2 linked regions of the Coturnix japonica genome follow. The protein of the gene in region 1 interacts with the protein of each later gene in a pairwise test. Links are inferred from orthologs where the notes say so. Each region holds a gene or a part of one and is shown on either strand. Other genes may lie near its edges.

Region 1 (4,782 bases):
CCGACTGGGAGTTGATGACCATAGGGTAAGGCACTTGAGAGTGATTCCAATCTAGGTTATCCTATCTTATAGCACTGAGTGATTCCAATGCAGCAGCAACTGAGTGTATCCAATGCACAAGCCATGAGTGATCCATGTAAGCACTGAGTGATCCAACACAGCACTGAGTGATCCAACACTGAGTGATCCAACACACAGCACTGAGTGATCCAATGCACAGCACTGAGTGATCCAACACACAAGCACTGAAGTGATCCACACCGCACTTAGTGATCAATGTGTTACAGCACTGAGGATGATACCAACACACAGCACTGAGTGATCCAATCAGTACAGCACCGAGAGCACGCTGTAACCAACACACAGCACTGAGTGGATCAACACACAGCACTGAGGATCCAAGCACAGCAGCTGAGTGATTCCAACACACAGGCACTGAGTGATCCAACACAGCACTGAGTGATCCAACACACAGCACTGAGTGATCCAACACAGCACTGAGTGAATACAACACACCACAGCACTGAATGGATCAACACAGCACCTGAGTGGAATATCAACACACGGGCCATGCAAATGAGTGATACCACACAGGCACCTGGAATAGGATCACAACACAGCACTGAGATAGATACCAACACAACAGCATGAGTGATCCAACACGAGCATGAGTTGATGGCCAATGTACAGCACTGGTGATTCAACACTGAGTGATCCAACACACAGCACTGAGTGATCCAACACAGCACTGAGTGATCCAACACAGCACTGAGTGATCCAAGTCCCAGCAAGGAGCTGTGTTAGGAGCTCACCCTCCTCATTGCCCGGCTTGTAGCACTGCCAGATGCGCACGGTCTTGTCGTCGCTGCAGGACGCCAGGCGCTGCCCGCTGCCATCGAACGCGATGCTCCACACGGTGGATTCGTGACCCTCCAACGTGGCACAACAAACCCAGTCGTCCTCCTCCTCGTGGTACAGCTTCACCGTGTCGTCGTAGCTGGCTGAAGCCAGGAGCTGGGACAGGAATGGGATCAACACCCCAAACCCACAGGGATTGCAAAGCCCTGCCCCCATAGAGGACCATTCAAACCCCATCTCTTGGGAGCACTGACTCCTTATGGCCCTGTGGCTCAGATCCTTTCCCATCACACACAGTGATGCCCGCAGGTCCCGCTGCCCTTGAGCTGGGCTCTCACCTCCTGGTTGGGATGCCACACCACGTGCTTGACGTCCTGAGTGTGAGAGTTGAGGACGCTGACACACTCGTATTCCTCCTCTTCATCCACTGCGGGGAAAAACACCTTCCATGAGGGAATGGGGCCAGAAGGGACAGTATTGGGGTCAGAAGGGGCAACAATGGGGCCAGAAGGGACACAGTGGGGATGGAAGGGGCAGCAATGGGGCCAGAAGGGGCAGTATAGGGGGCAGAAGGGACAGCAATGGGGCCACAAGGGGCAGTATAGGGGGCAGAAGGGGCAGCAATGGGGCCAGAAGGGACAGTATAGGGGGCAGAAGGGGCAGCAATGGGGCCAGAAGGGACAGTATAGGGGGCAGAAGGGGCAACAATGGGGCCAGAAGGGACACAGTGGGGATGGAAGGGGCAGCAATGGGGCCAGAAGGGGCAGTATAGGGGGCAGAAGGGNGGGGCAGAAGGGGCAACAATGGGGCCAGAAGGGACACAGTGGGGATGGAAGGGGCAGCAATGGGGCCAGAAGGGGCAGTATAGGGGGCAGAAGGGGCAACAATGGGGCCAGAAGGGGCAGTATAGGGGGCAGAAGGGGCAGCAATGGGGCCAGAAGGGGCAGTATTGAGGACAGCAGGGACACAGTGGGGCCGATGCCCTTGGGGTCCCCTCATTCCCCCCCTCACCTTCCCAGACCCACACGCTCTTGTCCCGGCTGCACGTTGCCAGCAGGCTGCCCGACGGCGCCCAGGCCACCGACTTCACCTCGTTTTCGTGTCCTTCCAATGTGGTGACGCACTGTGGGGGGCACAAGGAGCTGCAGGGCGCCACTATGGGGCTGGGTTATGGGGCTGGGTTATGGGGCTGGGTTATGGGGCTGGGTTATGGGGCTGGGTTATGGGGCTGGGTTATGGGGCTGGTTATGGGGGTTGCTGGGTTAGTGGGCTGGGTTGTGGGCTTGGTTGTGGGGGTGGGCTGGTTATGGGGTGGTTGTGGGGCTGGGTATGGGCTGGGTTATGGGCTGGTTATGGGGCTGTGTTATGGGGCTGTGGGGGGGGTCTGACCTCGAAGCCGTCCTGGCAGCGCTTCCAGATGCACGTGGTGGCGTCGAAGCTGGCAGAGGCCAAATAGGAGCCACAGGGCGACCAGGCCACTCTCCTCACTGTGCGTTGGTGGCCATCAGACAGCACAGCACGGCAAGCCTCCAGCTGACCCTAATAGGGGGGGGGTGGATGGGGGACCCCAATAGGAGCCCAGCCCCCACCCCACCCACGTGTATTAGGGCCATTAAGCCCGCCCCCTCCTTTAAGCCCCTCCCACGCTCCTCTGGCCCCGCCCTTTTTACCCCACCCTCTCGGCTCCGCCTCCTATTGGCCACACCCTCCCTTAGCCCCGCCCCTTCCTTAAGCCCCTCCCACCACCATCTGGCCCCGCCCACATTCACTATGTCTCCGCCTCTACTCGTCAGCCATTGGCTGCGCCCTCTCTTAGCCCCGCCCCCTCCTTTAAGCCCCGCCCACGACCCTCTTAGCCCCGCCCCCTTTCACCGTGTTCCCGCCCCTACTCGTCACCCATTGGCCGCTCCCTCTCATAGCCCCGCCCCCATTCATTGTCCCCGCCCCTACTCATCAGCCATTGGCTGGGGCCTCCCTTAGCCCCGCCTCTACTCGTCAGCCATTGGCTGCGCCCTCTCTTAGCCCCGCCCCCACCCTTGAGGCCCCGCCCCTTCCTTCCGCCCCGTTATCCCCCTCGTTCCCGTTATCCCTCGGTACCGTCCCGCCCCCACACTCTCACGGCCCGGTCCCCGCCGCAGGACGCGATGAGGTTCCCGTTTGGGCTCCACGCCAGGAACCAGCACCGCGCCTCGGGATGCGCCGCCACGCGGCTCTGCAGCACCAGCGCCTCCTTCATCGCGTCGCACCGTAATGACGTCACACCGGAAGCGGAAGCGCCGCCATGTTGCCGCCCTAGTGACGTCACCGCCGCGCTCGCCGGAAGCGGAAGCGGAGCCCGCGGCCTGAGGCGGTGCCGGCTGTTCGGGCCGCAGCCATGTACAACCCGGCCGGGCCCGGGCTGCACGGCAGGGGGAGGCGGCGGGGAACGGCGGGAGGCGGCGGGGGGGGGGCGCTGCCCAAACAACCGGAGCGGAGCCTGGCGTCGGCGCTGCCCGGGGCTCTGTCCATCACCGCGCTCTGCACCGCGCTGGCCGAACCCGCCTGGCTCCGGATCCACGGCGGGACCTGCGGGCGGCAGGAGCTGGGGGTGGCCGATGTGATGGGGACCGTCAGGACCGAGCTGCTGAGGGGTGAGAAACGGGAGAGCGGGGAGAGTGGGGCGGTATAGGGTCCTTATGGGGCTTATAGGGTCCTTATGGGGTTATGGGGTCCTTATGGGGTCCTTATGGGGTCCCTATGGGGCTCGCTATGGGCCCGCTATGGGGTCGCTATGGGGCCGCTATGGGGCCGCTATGGGTTCGCTATAGGGCTCGGTGTGGGGTCCTTATTGGATCGGTATGGGATCGGTATGGGGCTTATTATGGGGTCCTTATGGGGTCAGTATTGGGTCGTTATGGGATCGGTATGTGGCTCGGTATGGGGCTCGCTATGGGGTCGTTATGGGGGTCCGTATGGGGTCGGTCTGGGGCTCCTATGGGGCTCAGTATGGGGTCCTTATGGGGCTCAGTATGGGGCCGGTATGGGATCGGTATGGGGCGTATTATGGGCTCGGTATGGGAATTGGTATGGAGCTGATGGGGCTCGGTATGGGGTTGTTATGGGGTCGGTATGGGGTCCTTATGGGGTTCTTATGGGGTCATTATGGGGTCTTATGGGGTCCTTATGGGGTCGCTATGGGGTCCTTATGGGATAGGTATGAGGCCCTTATGGAGCTCGGTATGGGTATCGCTATGGGGCTCGCTATGGGGTCCTTATGGGGCTCGTTACGGGTCTCATTATGAGTCTCCTTATAGGGTCTTTATGGGGTCTTTATGGGTCTATGGGGTTTTTATGGGGTTTTATAGGGTCGGTATGGGGTTTTTATGGGGTCACTATGGGGTCATTATGGGGTCCTTATGGGGCTCGATATGGGCTTGTTATGGAGTCGTTATGGGGCTCGGTCTGGGGTTGTTATAAGGCTGATGGAGTCCTTATTGGTTGTTATAGGGCCGCTATGGGGCTCCTATGGGTCATTATGGGGCTGAGGTTTGGGAGCAGCCACTTTGTGCTTCCTGCCCCTTCCATCCTTATGGCCCAACAACAACAGCCCCATCCGTGCCCTATTCCCCACCCAGCCGTTCCTATGGCCCCATATATGGGGTCAATGGGGTGACACCCCCCCCAGGAAGAGCATTCCACCCCATTGCCGTGTCCCGGTGCTAATTACCCCCCATTAAAGCTGGGGGCTGTGAGTCCATTGCAGCCCTTCCTGCTGTGGGTTGGGGTGGTGTCAGTGCATGGATCAGGCCCTTAAAGCAAAGGGGAAGGAGGAAGCTGGGCCAAGTTGTGTGTTCTGGGCTGTTTTAATGCATAAAACACAGCAAAACCCCTATAGAACCAATGTGGGTTGTATTGAGGCCAATGTAAAACCCTCAGCTGGGCTCT
Region 2 (4,025 bases), on another chromosome or scaffold:
CAATGTCCTTTCAATAAACAACAAGCCCTTTTATCATTTTCATAAAAGCATCTCAAAATGGTTTCATTAAAAAAAAAAAGTCACTTTTGCGCTGAGCTTCTTAGGATCCTTTTGCAGATTGTTAATACAAATACAGGAGAAGTACTGCCTTTGAAAACTACTACCCTGTAATTTATTAGTGCAGTTTGTTTCCCCATTGGCAGTTAAAGAAATAATAATCAAAAATCCAAATCAAAAGACTTTGCATCTCACCTTCTGTTCCATAAATGATGAATGTTATACCACAAAACAAGATATAAAGCAAAGAAATCTGCGTTTGAGGAGCCATTTTTCTCCCAGGTTGGATTCCAGGTTATTTTCTGTTCTCTATGCGGAAGACACTGGTACAAAGGTCTCTGCTGACTGTGTAGTAGGGAGTACAGCTAAATCCCCTTCTGAAAATGCACCGCATTAGCACTTTCAGAGCTGTTACTGAGATGGAATACAAATACAATCCCTTAGTGTAACACACCTATTCATTACCTGATCCTGATGATGGATGATTTGGCCTCGCATCAACTGTGAACAATAAAAGGTCTTATCCTCATTAATCTGTTTTTAATTCTACAATCCTACGCACACCTCAATTCCCTCTGAAGTATTTACTACTTCATATTTTGAATAATATCAGTGCTACAAAGCAGTGAAATTTCAAAGAGTTTCAGAAGTACTGACTTACAATTCCTGTAAAGAAATGAACACAACAAAAAGCATGGTTGCAGATTACAAATAACTAGGAAGAAAGGAAGAAAGAAAAAAGCTTAGCTATTGCAAAGGTTTGATGAACGCTGGCATATCTGCACCACAATTGGCATGGTACGTGTGCTTTTCTGCAAGAACTGGCCTCCAACTTCCAAAGTAGTTTTTTAACACTTCTGCATATTTAAAATTAAATGAGATATTAAAGCTCCAGCACGAAGATACATAAAGCCTGCAAAGCCATCTTCTCCAACACAAATGGGTGATACATCATGCAAGTTCACCCTGTCTTGAAACACAGATTTGTCAGTTGGTTCTTCTTTAGATGCTTTTTCACCATAACGAGTTTCTCCTCAAAATACCAAAGCAGGAAGTGAGACCTATCAGCTCAAATGAGCTCTGGGCTATCCCACATAACAGCCCCTGCTCACCTCAGCAGCTTGGGCCATCACCTCCTTATCCTTTTTCTCCCTCTTCTCAGTGAACAAAATCAGTATCAGGTGTATTAGCAAAACGTTTTTAACACGCGACTCAACTCCCCCGCAGCACGGAGCTCACCTCGACGCCCCACAGCACCCCCCGCTCACCCACACCCCCATACCCCCCGCCCATCTCCTCTCCCCGCCGGCCTCAGCCCCGTTTCGTGCTGTTCCATCGCTCCCCCACACAGGGGCACTCTCGCACAAGCCGTGCCCGCCCGGTGCGTTGGTGAATCGCGTCCGGGCTCCTTCCGCTCCTCCTGCAGCGCAGACATGGTGGGTCCGGGCGCTGCGCCGCTGGAGAACGCCAACCCGCTCGTGTACCGCCGCTCGGGGGAGCGGCCCGTGACGGCGCGGGAGGAGGACGATGAGCTGCCCGACTCTATCGACGACCGGGAGATCTTTGATATCCTGCCGGCAGGGAGGGGATGGGGGGGTTTGATGCGGGGAGGGCGGCCTCCATCCTGCTTTCCTTAACGCGGCACATCTCATCCGCTCCATTAACGACCCCGAGCATCCCCTGACCCTGGAGGAGCTGAATGTCGTCGAGCAAGTTCGAGTTAAAGTGAGACTGTCTTGTTTTTTGTTGTTGATTTGTTTCCAACTTGTTTGCTCATTACATTGTTTTTGTATTCTTATTTTTTGGCCACACGCCTGTTTGTTTTCCAACAGGTGAACGATGCTGAGAGCACCGTAGTGGTGGAGTTCACACCCACGATCCCGCACTGCAGCATGGCAACGCTCATCGGCCTGTCCATAAAGGTGAAACTGATCAGATCACTGCCCGAGAGGTTTAAGGTGAGTGGTAAAATCGCTCTGGAAAGCAGAAGAGACAGACGGTGTTCAGAAAACAGCTAAATTAGAAAATGAAGCCACTAGAACTTTAGGTTCCATGTTATGGAGGAGGGAAACACTCCAGGCCAAGGAAAAAACTAAACAAACAGATTGGTGCAGAGCTGCAGTTCTGTGCTATAGCATCACAGGTGAGTGAGGTTGTGGTGTAAAGGCACGAGGGCACAGGAGATGGCAGTGCTTCACCTCCCTGCCTGTCGGAGGCTTACTCAGGTGGGAGTGCAGTGTTCTTTTGGACTGGGTTTTATTCTTCTGGGTACAGTAGCTGGCTGTGTCAGGAATGTCTTTCATTGTTGCTTTATTTTGCTATTTTCTTAATTAAATACTTTCATCTTTGAGGGTTTTATTGACTTGTCTCCTTTTTCTTTCTCCATGCTTTTTAAGATGGACGTTCACATAACACCAGGAACACATGCCTCTGAACACGCAGGTAAATGTTTTAATGCTCTGTTGTGTGGTTTTCTTTTATTACTCTAAAAATTAGAGAAAAGATAGATCCCTCCACCTGCAGATCAGCTGTTTGGTACCTGTATGCAAACCAGCCCCTTCTAGGAGATGTTACAGAATGGGAATATGTAATAACAAAACTTAAAAGTGTGTAGTGTCTTAGTTTAAATGTTTCCTTGGACAGCTTGTGCTGTCAAGTCGTCATTGATTTACCTGGAAGGCACAGAAAGAGGGGGGAGAGCTGGAGGTAAATTTCCTGTCCTGTTACATGTGCACAGCTTCCTGCTGCTGAATCATAAATAACTTACTGGTTTCAGATCTGCTACAGAACTGTCATTGACTTTTGGCCACAGCTTTGTGGTGTAGTTAGCATCTGTGGATTGTAGCTCAGTACCACAGCAACAATGAGACTCACTGTAAAGTGCTTCTAAAAGGACCTCTTATACCAATATTTTGACCGGTTCCTTGTGGTATTTCTTTTTGTACAGTTAATAAACAGCTTGCTGATAAAGAACGTGTAGCAGCTGCTTTGGAGAACTCTCACTTATTGGAAGTGGTAAATCAGTGTTTGTCTGCTCGATCGTAATTGCCTGATCAGGAAACCAGTGGTATTCTGCTGTATTAATTTTGTATGTGAGTGATGTTGCTAGTGTTACATGCATCTATGAGCAAAATAAAACTACATTATAGAAGCGTTCCATTACTTCGTCAAAACAAATTAAAGTAGTATGGAGAAAATTAGCTTGCTGGCAGCTATAAAGCTATAATGTAAATTGGCTTTTTCTGTTTGCTAATAATTGCACTGATGGGGTTTTTATCTGAACTTTTAAAGAATATTTGGTTGAACTTGTTTTTAAACAGGTTTCTTACTATCTATAAACTGCATTATGAAAGTGGCTTTTGCACATTGGGTTTCACAAGTATACCAAGCTAAGCAGCAGTTAAAATCTTTATACTCATGATTATTTTGGACTTTGACAGATTTTCCTTTAAACATCAAGATTTTTACAAAGATGAGTAGGTCACAAACAGATTGCTTTAACCTACACATCAAACAGAGGAGGAATTAGTAAATTATACTTAATCCGCATCTTAGCTTTCACCACTACATAATAATAGTAGTAAATAACGTATTGGATGTTACCACTTGCCTCCCAAGCCATGTTACACACAGCAGTCCTATGGGTACACTTTGCACTGCTTCCTTTTTCAGAGAAGCAACAGTATATGCTTAGGTTGTTCATAGTATGTAGTTGAGGAGCATCTTTTCAATAAAGGGAATTCATTACACAGTGTCAAAGAAAAGGTCTGACTTCTGCTACTGAAGGATGGATAATTCCATAACTTTGGATCTGTTGTATTTCTTTAAATGATGTGAATGTTGTATTAATTAGGTGATAGAAACAACAGAAGGGACAAACCATTGTTACTTGGCTGAAGATCGCAGCTCCTCCTGTATGGGGCTCCCTCAGCCTGAGAACTTGCTGAATGCTGATGTTCTGCCTCTTT

Evidence for each region. The genes of interacting proteins can lie anywhere in the genome.
Region 2: the proteins of CIAO1 (region 1) and CIAO2B interact in binary tests that used the Homo sapiens proteins (3 or more experiments, as listed by UniProt). The two-hybrid records come from large-scale screens. The link is inferred for Coturnix japonica from reciprocal best matches to the Homo sapiens genes CIAO1 and CIAO2B.

What each region holds. Positions count from the first base shown.
Region 1 is NC_029537.1:1,034,213-1,038,994, reverse strand, and holds the start of CIAO1 (probable cytosolic iron-sulfur protein assembly protein CIAO1), read right to left. Parts: upstream 3,120-4,782; 5' UTR 3,095-3,119; coding exon 2,945-3,094; intron 2,398-2,944; coding exon 2,248-2,397; intron 1,982-2,247; coding exon 1,870-1,981; intron 1,286-1,869; coding exon 1,197-1,285; intron 1,015-1,196; coding exon 813-1,014; intron 1-812. Other genes in the region: TMEM127 (transmembrane protein 127), read left to right, coding at 3,233-3,488. UniProt on the Homo sapiens protein: Key component of the cytosolic iron-sulfur protein assembly (CIA) complex, a multiprotein complex that mediates the incorporation of iron-sulfur cluster into extramitochondrial Fe/S proteins.
Region 2 is NC_029526.1:9,722,465-9,726,489, forward strand, and holds CIAO2B (cytosolic iron-sulfur assembly component 2B), read left to right. Parts: upstream 1-1,418; 5' UTR 1,419-1,490; coding exon 1,491-1,623; intron 1,624-1,702; coding exon 1,703-1,782; intron 1,783-1,889; coding exon 1,890-2,015; exon of another isoform or gene 2,016-2,033; intron 2,034-2,453; coding exon 2,454-2,499; intron 2,500-3,004; coding exon 3,005-3,102; 3' UTR 3,103-3,219; downstream 3,220-4,025. Other genes in the region: fatty acyl-CoA hydrolase precursor, medium chain-like, read right to left, coding at 253-328.